Linked DNA regions of Stegostoma tigrinum. The protein of the gene in region 1 purifies or fractionates together with the protein of each later gene. This does not show direct contact. Links are inferred from orthologs where the notes say so. Each region holds a gene or a part of one and is shown on either strand. Other genes may lie near its edges.

What was found. Proteins that work in one complex are often made in the same cells at the same time.
Region 2: the proteins of rack1 (region 1) and helz purify together in Homo sapiens (affinity purification with mass spectrometry; 3 studies listed by BioGRID and IntAct, counting the BioPlex papers as one, with this or other methods). This does not show direct contact. The link is inferred for Stegostoma tigrinum from reciprocal best matches to the Homo sapiens genes RACK1 and HELZ.

Annotation. Positions count from the first base shown.
Region 1 is NC_081366.1:36,420,846-36,428,401, forward strand, and holds the start of rack1 (small ribosomal subunit protein RACK1), read left to right. Parts: upstream 1-4,540; 5' UTR 4,541-4,654; coding exon 4,655-4,763; intron 4,764-5,749; coding exon 5,750-5,921; intron 5,922-6,108; coding exon 6,109-6,256; intron 6,257-7,556. UniProt on the Homo sapiens protein: Scaffolding protein involved in the recruitment, assembly and/or regulation of a variety of signaling molecules. Interacts with a wide variety of proteins and plays a role in many cellular processes.
Region 2 is NC_081375.1:9,906,335-9,913,582, reverse strand, and holds the start of helz (probable helicase with zinc finger domain), read left to right. Parts: upstream 1-4,182; 5' UTR 4,183-4,229; intron 4,230-7,248. UniProt on the Homo sapiens protein: May act as a helicase that plays a role in RNA metabolism in multiple tissues and organs within the developing embryo.

The DNA of each region.
Region 1 (7,556 bases):
TGCCTTACACTACCAGTATTCAGCCTATATGTGGGTGACTGAAGTTCCTCTATAATGTTGGCATCTTTCTGTAGATTTGTTCCTCAACATCCTTTCCACTTTTGGTGGTCTGCAGACTACACTGCACAATGTTATTGTACTATTTTTATTCTGTAACTCTAGCCAAATTGAGCCCGTCCTTGAATCCTCTGAGACATCTTCCTTCTCGAGGACTGAAATACCTCCTTAACTGATACTACTATTACTCCTCCTTTACCTATTTTCCACCTCTCCTGAACAACTTATATTCAGGAATAATTAACACCGAGCCTCACGCTTCCTTCCACCAAGTTTCTATCACTGCCACATCATAATTCTACGTTGCAATCTTCACCTGTAACTTCCCAACCTTATTTATTATGCTTCATGCACTTATATGTATACATATTTATTCTGTTTTGGACTTACCTTTCTCCTCGACTTCTTGAAATTCACCTATTTGTGACTCACAATGCTAGTGCCAGGCTTTTTCAAAGTGTTTTGCAGGTCTGACATTTTCCTTAATTATTCTTTCTTGATTCCCTCACATTGCCAAATTAGTTTAACTTGGAAATGAGGTGAATCAAATGGTTCAAGTGTCAGTGAGACAACATTCAGCCCTCCCAATGACACAAGCTGAATGCCCCACATCATACCCTGTTGCTCAGGGGCATTTTGCTTGCATGTTACCCTGTTGGTATGATGTGGCATTTGAAAATACACTCACTGATCTTACGACTCATACAAAATCATTGACTTTTTTATGGCCCTACCTCCTGGTCTTTTAGGTCTTAATTACTGGCATTGACTGCCATAGCTACCTGCTTCCATAATCTTTTGTGGCAGATGATTTCTTGGTTTCCTCCAGGTACAGATCATGTTTCTTACTGTTTACCTCATTCACTAAGGCCTCCAGAGCATCAGCTAAAACCTTGGAGGCCCATTTCTTGTATGTTGCGCCATTCTTCAGTTATTATATTCACTTAGTGTCATAGAGTTAAACAGACGGAAACAGACCCTTCAGTCCAACTTCTCTGCTCTCACTAGATATTCTAAACTGATTTGATCCCATTATATAGGTATTTGGCCTATATCCCTCTAAATGCTTCCATTTCATGCAGCCATCCAGATTCATTTTAACTGTTGTAATTGTATCTGCCTCCACCACTTCCACTGGCAGGTTGTTCCATAAGTGCACTAACCTCTGCACGAAAGAAATTGCACCTCAGATCCCTTTTAAATCTTGCCCCCCTCACCTTGAATCCATGCCCTCTAGTTATGAACTCTACTACCCTAGCAAAAAGACCTTGGCTATTCACCCCATCCGTGCCCCTCATGATTTTATAAACCTCAATAAGGTCACCCCTGCCTCTGATGCTCCAGCCTCACTCTATAACTCAAACATTCCAATCTTGGCAACATTCTCATAAATCTGTTCTGAAACTTTTCAAGTTTAAGATAACGAGGTGTAGAGCTGGATGAACACAGTAGGCCAGGCAGCATCAGAGGAGTGGGAAAGCTGATGTTTCGGGTCTGGACCTTTCTTCGGGGAAGGGGGCTCTGAAATAAATAGAGAGACGGGGAGGCAATGATAGAAGGTGGATAGAGGAGCAGATAGGTGGAGAGAAAACAGACAGGTCAAGGAGGCAGGGATGAAGCCAGTAAAGGTGAGTGTAGGTAGGGAGTTGGGATGGGGGTTAGTCGGTGGGGGTGGGTGATAGGGAAGATGGACAGGTCAAGGAGGCGGGGATGAGGCTAGTAGGTAGGAAGTGGGGGTGGGGGTTGGTCAGTGAGATGAGAGGAGTGGATAGGTGGAAGAAAAGATGGAGAGGTCAAGGAGGCGGGGATGAGATGGGCTAGTCTTGGGATGAGGTCGGGGCGGGGCAGTTTTGAAGCTTGTAAAGTCCACATTGAGGCCATTGGGCTGCAGGGTTCCCAAGCACAATATGAGGTGCTGTTCCTCCAGCCTTCGGGTGGCATTGTTGTGGCACTGGAGAAGACCCAGGATGGACATGTCATCCAAGGAGTGGGACGGGGAGTTGAAGTGGTTCACGACTGGGGTGTTGTCGCTTATCATGAACTGAGTGTAGGTGCTCCACAAAGCGGTCTCCAAACCTCCGCTTGGTTTCCCCGATGTGGAGGAGGCCAGATCGGGAACAGTGGATATAGTATACGACATTAGTGAATGTACAGGTGAGCATCTGTTTAATGTGGAAGGTTTTCTTGCGGCCTGGGATGGAGGTGAGGGGGGAGATATAGCACTTCCTGCGGTTGCAGGGAAAAGTGCCAGGGGTGTTGGGGTGAGTGGGGAGTGTGGAGGGGATGAGGGAGTCGTGGAGACAGCGGTTCCTCTGGAAGGCAGATAAGGGTGAGGAGGGAAATATGTCCTTGGTAGTGGGGTCAGATTGCAGGTGGCGGAAGTGGTAGAGAATGAAGTGTTGAATCCAGAGGTTGATGGGGTGATATGTGGGGACAAGGAGATTTCTGTCTTTGTTGTTATTGCGGGGAAGGGGTGTGAGGGCTGAGGTGCGGGAAACGTGAGAGATGTGGTCAAGGGCGTTCTTGACCACTGTGGAGGGGACATTGCACCTATAGCCTCACCCCACCATCTTAACCTGTCCATCTTCCCTCCCACGTACTCGTCCCTCCCTCCTCACTGACCAACCCCCATCCCAAATCCCCACCTACACCCACCTTTACTGGCCTAATCCCCATCTCCTTGACCTGTCCGTCTTCTCTCTACCTATCTGCTCCTCTGTCAAACTTCTATCATCGCATCCCCCTCTATTTTTTTCAGAGCCCCCTTCCCCTCCCCCATTCCTGAAGAAGGTTCCTGACCCAAAACGTCAGCTTTCCTGCTCCTCTGATGCTGTCTGGCCTGCTGTGTTCATCCAGCTCTACACCTTGTCATCTCAGACTCCAGCATCAGCAATTCCTACTATCTCTTTTCAAGTTTAATATCTTTCCTACAGGAGGGAGGCCACAACTGAACACAGTATTCTAAAAGTAGCCTCACTTTATATGACTTTATATGCAATATGATGTCCCAACTTCTATACTCGATGCATTGACCAATGGAGGCAAGCTTGCCAAATACCTTCTTCACCATCCTGTCTACCTGTGACTCCACTTCCAAAAGGATGCGCCTGCACCCTTAGTTCTCTTTGTTCGGCGCACTCACCACTGTTCGGCCATCAGCTGTAGAAGTCTTGGCCTGGTTTGCCTTAGCAAGATGCAAAACCTAAAACATATCCAAATTAAACCTCATCAGCCATTTCTTGGCCCATGTGATCAAGGCCTTCTTGTCCTTTGAGATAACCTTCTTCACTGTCCACTACACCACCCATTTTGGTGTCATCTGTAAACATACTAACATAATTGCCAAAATATTCCCCTTTAAGTGGTGTAGACTAGCTTTGAATGCAGCTATCCACTCGTGATATGGCACCCTTTTCAGACATACATAATCAATAGTGGTTGCTTAGCATTGAGTGAAAAAGTTCAGGTGGTACACAGCACAAAATTGATGTGATCGTTGCTGCTTTTCATTTAATGTGTTTGAGTTAGTCACAGTCTCCAAGCCTGTCTTTTTTTCAGGAGGGAGAAAATTACATTTGCATTTATGGTGCTTCATACTATCAAGGAACATCGCCAAGTGTACAACCAAAATGAAACATTACATTGAAACATAGAAAATAGGTGCAGGAGTAGGTCATTCAGCCCTTCAAGCCTGTACCACCATTCAAAATGATCATGGCTGATCATGCAATTTCATTATCCCGTTTCCACTTTCTCTCCACACCCATTGATCCCTTTAAGTTATAAGGGCCACGTCCAGCTCCAACTTGAATATATCTGATGAAGTGGCCCCACAACTCTCTGAGGTAGAGAATTCCACAAATTCACTACTCTCTGAGTGAAGAAATTCCTCCTCATCTCAGTCCTGAATGGCCTACTACTTATTCTTAGATTGTGACCCTTAGTTCTGGACTTCCTCTACATCAGGAACATTCTTCCCACGGAATTTTATATGTTTCCAGGAGATCCCCGTCATTCGTCTAAATTCCAGTGAGTACGAACCAAGTTGATTCAGTCTTTCTTCATATGTCAATAATTACCATGTGCAATTTCTATTCAGCTAGATTCTGCTATTTTGTGGCTATCAAAATTATCTTTTAATGCTCCAGTCCCCAGCCAACTGCTTGTTTGGTCAACAGTTCCAAGTGATTGCTGCTGGCTGGTCAGTGCCTTTTGACACTTCCAGCAGTCGAAAGGGTAACTGGAATCGTTGGATCCATTCCCTCCGGGTGTAAGTTCCCGTGTGACAGAATAATTTGAGAACAGACTGAGGCAGCTAGCTGCTTTCAATCAGGTTCTTGATTTTGCTATAAGTATACAATTGTTATTTCGAAACAGTTTGCAGCTCCAACCGGCAACATCAAGTTAAACGTCACCAAGGAGACGGCGCCACCATCAAAATCACCCAGCCCTCTCCTCGCCATTGACGTCATGTCCGGGCCTGTTACGGAGCGCTTCCTTTTTCTCTGCGGCCCGGTGGACGCGCGTTGTTCTGAGGCTGAGTCCTCTGCTGCAATCCGTTTTCATCCGTCTATAGGACGCCCCATCTCCACTCAAAATGACGGAGCAGATGACCCTTCGTGGCACCCTAAAAGGCCACAGTGGCTGGGTGACACAAATTGCCACAACCCCGCAGTTTCCTGACATGATTCTGTCCGCGTCCCGAGGTACTCTTCGTGGAGGGGGAGGGAAGAGGACCGGGGTGCGGGCTCTATCCGCCGCCAAAGGCGGACCGAGCAGCCGTTTCTCGGCCGTATGTTTTATCATGAATGCCTGTTTCTCTTTTAGTCCCGTTATGTTAACTTTTCGAGTTGTCTGTAGCCGGACTTCTTCACGGTTTACACGTAGATAGTTTTACGGCCCTCCGTTGCTTATTAGGCCCGGCTCTCAGTCGATTGCAACGAGTCACTGCTGCTGACACACAAGCTCGAATGCTGCAGAACCACGTTGTGTGTCCATCAGGAGGCTAAAACTGAAACGTTAGAACACGGAACATACGAACTAGGAAGAGGAGTAGGCCGTCCGGGCCTTCGAGTCTGCTCCGCCTTTCAAGATTTTTGATAGCCAGGGGATATCACTTTTTTAAGAGTTCAATAACTTGAGGTTAATTACCGACCTGTGGGCTTTAACGAGTTAAAGTGGTTTACTGCCGGTGCATTAATTTATACTTACAAATATGCCAATGCTTGCAGAATGAGTAACAAATTGAGTGTTGTCTTATTTCTGATGTAAAGGGACATTGCACAGGCAAAACATCTGTGGATGTGGGAAGTCTAAAACAGAAACTGGTGGAGTGTGGAGAGAGCACCCCGTTAATGTATTCTTTTCAATTCTATTCTTTGGGCAAATAACATTTATAGAAGAAAAGTATGTTTCAAATTAATCTTTGAAAGTATTGAAATCTGAAATGCCACGTTTCCAGACCTAAAATAACTTGCATTACTTTATCACACTTAAAGTAAAATGCCCCAAGGAATCTTGCAGGAATATTACTAGTTTTGTTTCTAATTTTGAGCAAAAGTGAGCTATTTGGTTTTTAGAAAACTTAAATGTATTACATCAGTTCATACCCTAACTGGAAAGTAACTTTTCATATAGCAAACTGTGACCTTAATCTAAATGCAGTGTTCTAAAAGCTTATTTCTGCTTACAGATAAAACAATTATCATGTGGAAGCTAACTAGGGATGAGACCAGCTATGGTGTCCCACAGCGTTCCCTCAGTGGCCACTCTCACTTTATTAGTGATGTAGTCATTTCTTCTGATGGTCAGTTTGCCCTTTCTGGTTCCTGGGATGGAACTCTACGACTTTGGGATTTGACAATGTAAGAATGCAAATAATTTATTGCCTACAATCAGATTTTTAATAAGAGTGGAATAATTTGTTGCGGGTGCATTTTAAATGTTTTTAATGGTACTTGTTCCAAAGAAATTAATAGACATTTTTGCTTGATTATTTGCAGTCGTTTCTTTCACTACTTGTTGGGATGATTAATACAATTCCTCTTCCAGGGGATCGACTACACGTCGATTTGTAGGTCACACCAAGGACGTACTGAGTGTTGCCTTTTCAGCTGATAATCGCCAAATTGTGTCTGGTTCCCGTGACAAAACTGTAAAACTGTGGAACACATTAGGTGTTTGCAAATACACCATCCAGGTAACTCAGACACAATTACTTTTCCAAGCATGGCTATTACACTATGTAGGGGAAAAATATCTCACTTTGTTATTACGTATTTGGCATTCATGTGCAAAATTCTCAGGCAGCAGAAGCTGAAACATTGAATATCTCATTGTCAATTCTATTCAAATGATAATTGTGAACTTAAGGAATCTACAGTACGTCTTTTGCTTTGAAATTCCCATGTATTTAATTGCATTCCTACTTACGTACAGAAAGAAGTTAATTCTCAAGAAGTTGACTGCCTGGCAGCTGGTCTGAATGTTGTGTTTTACCTTTCCACCCAAACTGAACACATGAACTGGTAGTGATTATTTTGTTCGAGATGTGGCTGGAGGGTTTTCTGAAATGGTAGCAAGTTCGTATCGATAGTTTAAATGCAATGGCTAGACAAGTATAGCACACAGTTAAGTTCTAAATTATATGCTTAATTTACAGTGATAAATGAATGAACTGTGTTTATCCTTTGCTCAATTCAGTTGTAGACTTCTTAGTTACACCATTTGAAATAACATGAGTATGGTTACTACATAATAGAAAGGAGATGTGAGCGTGAATATAAATGGCTGAACATTGAGTTCAACAGTGTTTGGTATTTCTTGAGTTGCTTAATATTTAATTGAACAGCAAAAATAGCAGGGCCACCAGTCTGGAAATTTATCATATGAATGAGACTTTGCTTTTAAGAAGCGAGATAAGGTCAGCCCCTTTTACTGGTTGGGCACTAGGATGTGTTTGTTTATTATAGCCAAACTTGCTGACTCTATAGGTAAGGAAGCTGGTTGTGAGGATACAGTTTGCAAAGCCATTTAATTAGTATGAATGAATGGTTGATATTTTGGCATAAGTGTGGGAGACAATAAGATTATCCACTTGCCGGGAAGAATAGGAAAGCAGAAAATTGAATATGATACACAAATCTGCGTAGCTACTTGTATGAATTTCAACTGTTAGAATGTAGAAGCAGCAACTAATTGTGGGAAGTTGCACAGGGTGTTGGAGTACAATTTATAGTTTGAGCTTTAATTACAACGGGACATGCTTGCATTAGAGGCAGTTCAGAATGAGCGGTTGATTTGAGGAAAGGTTAGGCCTTTGACCTCAGTTGAGAAGAATGAGTAATCTTGTTGAAAAGTACCTCGGGGCTTGGAAGGTAACATTGAAATTGTTTTACCTTGTGGAGGAGCCTAGAAAAAATTGGCAGTTGCAGAATGGGAGAATATTTCTGACTTAAAGTTTGAGATGAAAGCAAATTTCTTGGCTCATTAATGGAATT
Region 2 (7,248 bases), on another chromosome or scaffold:
TTTAGTTTTCTTAAATACTTTGTTTGTTTTTAACAGCTGGTAATATAAATAAACAAACTATTGATTTGTAGATGCGTCTAAACTAATTATATTAATTTTGTTTTAAATAATTTTCTTCCTCAGGGTGGCACTGTTACCTCCATAAAACAATATGACAAGGCTCCTGTTATTCTTGTTCCAGAGTCTTGTTACTTTAGAGCTCTTTAGACCTAACAGAGCCAAAAGGACAGAGATAATGGGAACTGCAGATGCTGGAGAATTCCAAGATAATAAAATGTGAGGCTGGATGAACACAGCAGGCCAAGCAGCATCTCAGGAGCACAAAAGCTGACGTTTCGGGCCTGGACCCTTCATCAGAAAAATTTTCCCCACACTTTGTTATCTTAGCCAAAGGACACATTGGCGATAAATTTTCCAGAGTTGCGGCTATTAAAATGGCTTACCAACATTATGCAGCATGGTATACAACTGTAGAAAATTATACCCTATTAACTTGAACCATTACCCTACATCATTCTAGGCCATTTCATGAGACTTGAGATTAAGTTTGCTGATGTAAGACCATTGGGATCACTGTTTGTGGTGTCATTTATACCATTGCAGAATGGTGTTTGTGTGTGAGCAAATCATCAAGGAAACACATGTAAAAGTGGTAATATTACTTATTGTAATTATTGTTGATATCTCTCTCAACTGTAAGTCATCAGTTAGGGCTTCATGTCCCTCTCCAGAGACTTGAGCACAAAAACCTAATAAGACACTTCATTTTTCGAAGATGCTGCCTGTTGAATATTAACATAGGCCTACATGTAACAGATTGGCGGACATAAGAAACTTCATGATGCTATTTTTTAAAAAAGAACAAGGGCATTCTCCCAAGCACCCTGACCAATGTTGCTAAAAGATAACATTGAATAAAAAAACTTGAGAACTACAGGTGCTGTAAATCGGAAACTAAAGCAGAAGTTGGTGGAAAAGCTCAACTGGTCTAACAGCATGTGTGAAGAGAAATCAGAGTTAATGTTTTGGTCTAGTGAAGAAAACATTACCTAGTTTTTCTAAATAAGCAGCAAAAAGGAAGGTTTGCATTGAAGCATTCTTTTCACATTTCCCCATCTTCTGGCAAAACACAAGAAATTATTCACAGATGCCAAAGTAATTAAAGAATCAACAACTCGGGCCACCGATTATTATTTATAGACCTTAAGAACAAAGAAAAAATAATAACAACAATATGGAGCAGGTTACTTGATGCTTATACCATAGCAAAACAAGTGGAACCTTTGTCTGAAGAGGTCTATCAACAAGTACAGCAGGTCTTGAAGGAATGTGAACACTTCCGAATCCGCTGACATGGCTGGCACAGCCCAGTTGATTGTTCTTGTGCGTATGCTTCTTAAGGAATATTAACTAAACTGCTCACGCTTTTCCCCTTTAAAGATGGGACAAGGGGTGAGGATATCTATAACAAATTCAAAAGGCAGGTGTGTGAGAAAAACATTCTCATCAAGAAACTGGTTTCCATCACAACTGATGGAACCTCAGTGATGCGTGGCACAAATGCATGCTTTGTTACATTTTGCAGAAACGGTCCTGATTTCCTGTCTATTTGTCAATTACCACCCTACAGTACATGATGAAGCAGAGTGATTTAAGTTATGGCCATCTGCCATGTAATAAAAGTTAAGATTGTAAACTCGATTTGAGCAAAACTTCTTGAGCATCACAAAAGCTGTATTCATTGAACTCGATGACAATGGGAACTGCAGATGCTGGAGAATCCAAGATAACAAAGTGGGAGGCTGGATGAACACAGCAAGCCAAGTAGCATCTCAGGAGCACAAAAGCTGATGTTTCGGGCCTAGACCCTTCATCAGAGATCCCTAAATTTGAATGTATTGTGATAAGATTTCCAGCAGAAAAGCAGGCAAGTTATGTTATTTCAAATTGTTGGAAATACATAATTTGACTTAATCATGTATGGATATACATAAATTAACTCCCTTCACAACCAAAACAGCGTGTACTAAAGATTCATTGCAAGGCACCTTTGAAAGAATCCTACAAACGGGAGACCTTTATCTGCAAATTACCCTCCAAGAAATAAACTGTCCTGGCTTGAAAATGTATCTTTAAGCATCACTACGTTAAAGTCCTGGAACCATAGAAATTCAATTCTGAAAAAAAAACCCATTCTCCAGCACCCTCGAAATTCATTACTTTCAAATATATACTGTCTCCCTAACAGCACTGGGTGGGGGTCGATACACCTCAAGGACTACAGAGATTGAAAACAAAATCAACTCACCACCACCTTCTCACGGACTAGAAAGGATGGGCACATACCTAGTCAGTATTCTTGATATCCAATGTAGAATTTTCTTTTAAAAAGTCACATTTTAATTGATTGAGGTTGGAGCAAGTCAGAGAAAGATGTTGGAAGTAGAGCAGCCCCTGCCACCCTTCATGTATCTCTTCACTGTCTCAGCTATTTCTGCTCCAGCCTGCAAATACTACCCTTCACCTACCACTTCAGCCCCTCATCTGCTCCAACCTTTTAAATGCTCCCCCAACCCGGCCCCTGCTCCATCCCGTCGCCTGCTCCAACCCTCTCCCTGCCCCTCCAACCCGTCGCCTGCCCCAACCCTCTCCCTGCCCCTCCAACCCGTCGCCTGCCCCTCCAACCCGTCGCCTGCTCCCCCAACCCTTTCCCGCCTGCCCCTCCAACCCGTCGCCTGCTCCCCCAACCCTTTCCCGCCTGCCCCTCCAACCCGTCGCCTGCCCCTCCAACCCGTCGCCAGCTCCAAACCTCTACCTGCCCCTCCATCCCGTCGCCTGCCCCTCCATCCCGTCGCCTGCCCCTCAAACCCGTCGCCTGCCCCTCAAACCCGTCGCCTGCCCCTCAAACCCGTCGCCTGCCCCTCAAACCCGTCGCCTGCCCCTCAAACCCGTCGCCTGCCCCTCAAACCCGTCGCCTGCCCCTCAAACCCGTCGCCTGCCCCTCAAACCCGTCGCCTGCCCCTCAAACCCGTCGCCTGCCCCTCAAACCCGTCGCCTGCCCCTCAAACCCGTCGCCTGCCCCTCCAACCCGTCGCCTGCTCCCCCAACCCTGTCCCTGCTCCTCCAACCCGTCGCCTGCTCCAACCCTGTCCCTGCCCCTCCAACCCGTCGCCCCCTCCAACCCTCTACCTGCCCCCCCAACCCTCTACCTGCCCCCCCAACCCGTCGCCTGCCCCCCCAACCCGTCGCCTGCCCCCCCAACCCGTCGCCTGCGCCAACCCACTACCTGCCCCTCCAACCCGTCGCCTGCGCCAACCCTCCACCTGCCCGCCAAACCCGTCGCCTGCTCCAACCCTCTCCCTGCCCCTCCAACCCGTCGCCTGCTCCAACCCTCTACCTGCCCCTCCAACCCGTCGCCTGCTCCAACCCTCTCCCTGCCCCTCCAACCCGTCGCCTGCTCCAACCCTCTCCCTGCCCCTCCAACCCGTCGCCTGCTCCAACCCTCTACCTGCCCCTCCAACCCGTCGCCTGCTCCAACCCTCTCCCTGCCCCTCCAACCCGTCGCCTGCTCCAACCCTCTCCCTGCCCCTCCAACCCGTCGCCTGCTCCAACCCTCTCCCTGCCCCTCCAACCCGTCGCCTGCTCCAACCCTCTCCCTGCCCCCCCAACCCGTCGCCCGCCCCCCCAAACCGTCACCTGCTCCAACCCTCTCCCTGCTCCTCCAACGCGTCGCCTGCTCCAACCCTCTCCCTGCTCCTCCATCCCGTCGCCTGCTCCAACCCTCTCCCTGCCCCTCCAACCCGTCGCCTCCTCCAACCCTCTCCCTGCCCCTCCAACCCTCTACCTGCCCCCCCCAACCCGTCGCCTGCTCCAACCCTCTCCCTGCCCCTCCAACCCTCTACCTGCCCCCCCCAACCCGTCGCCTGCGCCAACCCTCTACCTGCCCCTCAACGCCGTCGCCTGCTCCAACCCTCCGCCTGCCCCTCCAACACATCGCCCACTCCTCCAGCCTCTCACCTGTTCTAACCTTTTAAATGCTGTTCCCATCCCTTAACTACTGCTGCAGCTCTTCGCCTGTTCCAACCCCTCACCTGATACTGCTGTGGTGGAACATTCTCAACGGTGCGCTCCCCTGGAAATACTCGCGCAGGCGCAGTGGGCCAGCTTCCCACAATGCCTCGGGGGACGCTGACAAGTGGATCCAAGATGGCGCAAAAGTAAAGGCAAAGGTAGGTGCGGAGTTGTGTTGGTGTCTGAGCCGCTGCGCGCTCCGGGCTGGTCCCTCCCCGGAGCCTTACGATGGTTGGGGAGAAGAGTTTGGAGAAGTCGGCGAGGGTGCCTGTGGTGGCGGAGCTGTCAGTCTGTTGTTTGAAGGAGGCTGTTGGGGGGGGGGGTCGGTGTTACTGAGGCCGCCTTTCAATCCAAGGCCTGGGGATGGTGATATCAACAGGCCGGCTCATCGCCCTTTTTCCCTGCCTGCAGTTAATGTCGCCGAGTTTAGGAGAGAGCTCAGCTCTGGGAAGTGTACAGGCCCAGGGCTTGTCGAGGCCAGAGAGTAGATCGTGTAAACAAGTGGCGGCGGTGGGGGTTGTGCCGGATGGGCTGGGAAGCACCGCCGTGCTCTCTTCACATTATTCCCTCTCACTGTTCTCCCCAACCACTTCGTTATGTCTCTGTTGGGAAAATAATGCACCTTTACTGCTACAGTGGTCTGTTTATTGTTAGAGCACTTCCTATTCGCCTGCTTTTTCTTTTGTTTACCTGCTTGATTTTAATAAGATTTGCAAAATCGATCTTTAAAGCAAGCAACTTTTTTTTTATATAAAAAGAAGTTTCTTCTCACTGGTGTTACATGACTGATAAAAGCCCTCAAATGAGGGCGAACTTTTCGCCGAGTCTCATTAATATTATTTTATGGACGCTTGTTTTGAAGTAGGATTCTTTTACCACTATATTACATTATTTACTGGCATTCAGCAAAACTTCTGTCAGTTAAACTGATCTGATCTTTGTAGTTGTCATGCTAATAAGGAATTTAAAATATTTTTACTAATCCTTTTGTGAAATAATGATATTACAAATTTCAAACCTTGTATCCAAAACATGAACTTTTGCATTTTGTTTTGTTCTCAGCTCCTGATGGTATGGAATTATACAACTGAAAGTTTATTGGAACTGTAATAAATCAGCTGCCTTTGTCTTATTTCTCAGCTATTTTTGTTTTTTATTGCACATTAGATTGCTTAAATAAATATTTACTAATTTTCATGTAAATGTACTTGAGTTTAATATGAGCAGATTACCCCCTCCCCCCAACTGCACAAACTCCTGGAGTTATCCTCTTCTTCACTTTGCTGTCTCTTTCGTCTTGATCCTGATCCATTTATGTTTCCTCACTGTCAACACTCTTTGTCTGCTCCTGATGAAGGGTCTGCACTCTGAATGTTTGTGATTTCAAATAAACCTGTTGGACTATAATTTGGTGTCGTGTGACTTCTAACACTCAAGTGTTTTGAAATGCCTTCAGAGTGAGTGTTTATTTAATGATACCTTGTTAATGATTGAAACATGCTAAAGCCTGAGGGGATTTGGCAGGGTAAATGTGGAGAGGATATTTCCTCTTAGGAGAGAATCTGGAACTAGGGTCTACTGTTTAAAAATTGAGAATTGATTTAAAATGCTGGTTGGTCAATATTTTTACCTGTCGTGGTTGGGAATTTTTGGACTGCTCTTCCTGAAAGGATGAATATTTATAAGGCAGAGCAAGACAGATTCTTGCTAAGGGTGTGAAAAGTAAGGCAGGCTGGAATTCAGATTTGAGGTTACAATCAGATCAGACATAATTTATTAGATGATAAAGCAAGTTCAATGGGCCGAATGGCCTGCTGTGGGCAGCACGATGCCTTACTAGTTAACACTGCTGCCTCACGGTACCAGAGATTCGGGTTCAATTCCAGCCTTGGGTGACTGTGTGGAGTTTGCACATTCTTCCTGTGTCTGTGTGGGTTTCCTCCTGGGTGCCCTGGTTTCTTCCCACAGTCCAAAGATGTGTGGATTAGGTGGTTTGATTATTTAAAAAAAAAAGTCTATAGCGTCCAGGGATGTGCAAGCTAGGTGGATTAGCCATGGGAAATGCAGGGTAACAGGGCTAGGGTAGGCGGGGGGTTGGGGGGGGTGGGTGTTGGTCGGGGTGGAATGTTGTTTGGAGGGTCGGTGTGGGCTTGATGGGCTGAATGGCCTATTGCCATGGTGTAGGGATTCAATGAATTTGAGTCAGTGATTATTTTGGAAAGGCATTATAACAGTCTGCCTTTTCTCACTTTTGAGGAGACTTGTATTGATGTTTGTCTTGAATATTGGTCTGGGTATGCACTGGTGACTATCTGCTTGTCTTCCTACTTCCCCATCTGAAAGCAGCTGTTTTCTGCCAAGGTACTGATTATATAAACGTGATGCTTTCCCTCTGGTTCCAGTTTGGTTGGAAGTGGCCACCATAATTTCCATTGTAATGCTCTTTAACGCAACGTTGGTGCACCATTGTGCTTGCTGCCATTGAGCACAAGAACACAGATGATCAATTTATAATGTACCAGCCAGGCATTTTGATTGATAACTGCTAACTTAGAACTAGCTCAAAAGTAGGAGACAGGGTGGTGGAGAAGGGTTGTTTTTCAGACAGGACGCCTGTAACCAGCGGCATACCAAAAAGATCGGTTTTGGGTCCACTGCTTTTGTCATTTATATAAATGATTTGGATGTGAACATGGGAGGTATGCTTCACAAGTTTGCAGATTGGTGGTGTCAGAGTACAACGGGACCTCGATCTGATGGAATGGCAGATGGAGTTAATTTAGATAAATGTGAGGTGCTGCATTTTAGAAAGGCAAATCAGGGCAGATTTATCCACTTAATGGTAAGGTCCTGGGGAGTGTTGCTGAACGGAGAGACCTTAGAGTGCAGGTTCATATTTCCTTGAAAGTGCAGGTTGACGGGGTAGTGAAGAACGTGTTTGATATGCTTGCCTTTATTGGTCAGTGCATTGAGTGTAGGATTTGGGAGGTCATGTGGCTGTACAGGACATTGGTTAGGTCACTTGTAGAATACTGTGCGCTATTCTGGTCTCCCTGCTTTGTGAAGGATGTTGTGAAACTTGAAAGGGTTCAGAAAAGATTTACAAGGATGTTACCAACGTTGGAGGGTTTGAACTGTAGGGAGAGGCTGAACAGGTTGGGGCTATTTTTCCTGGAG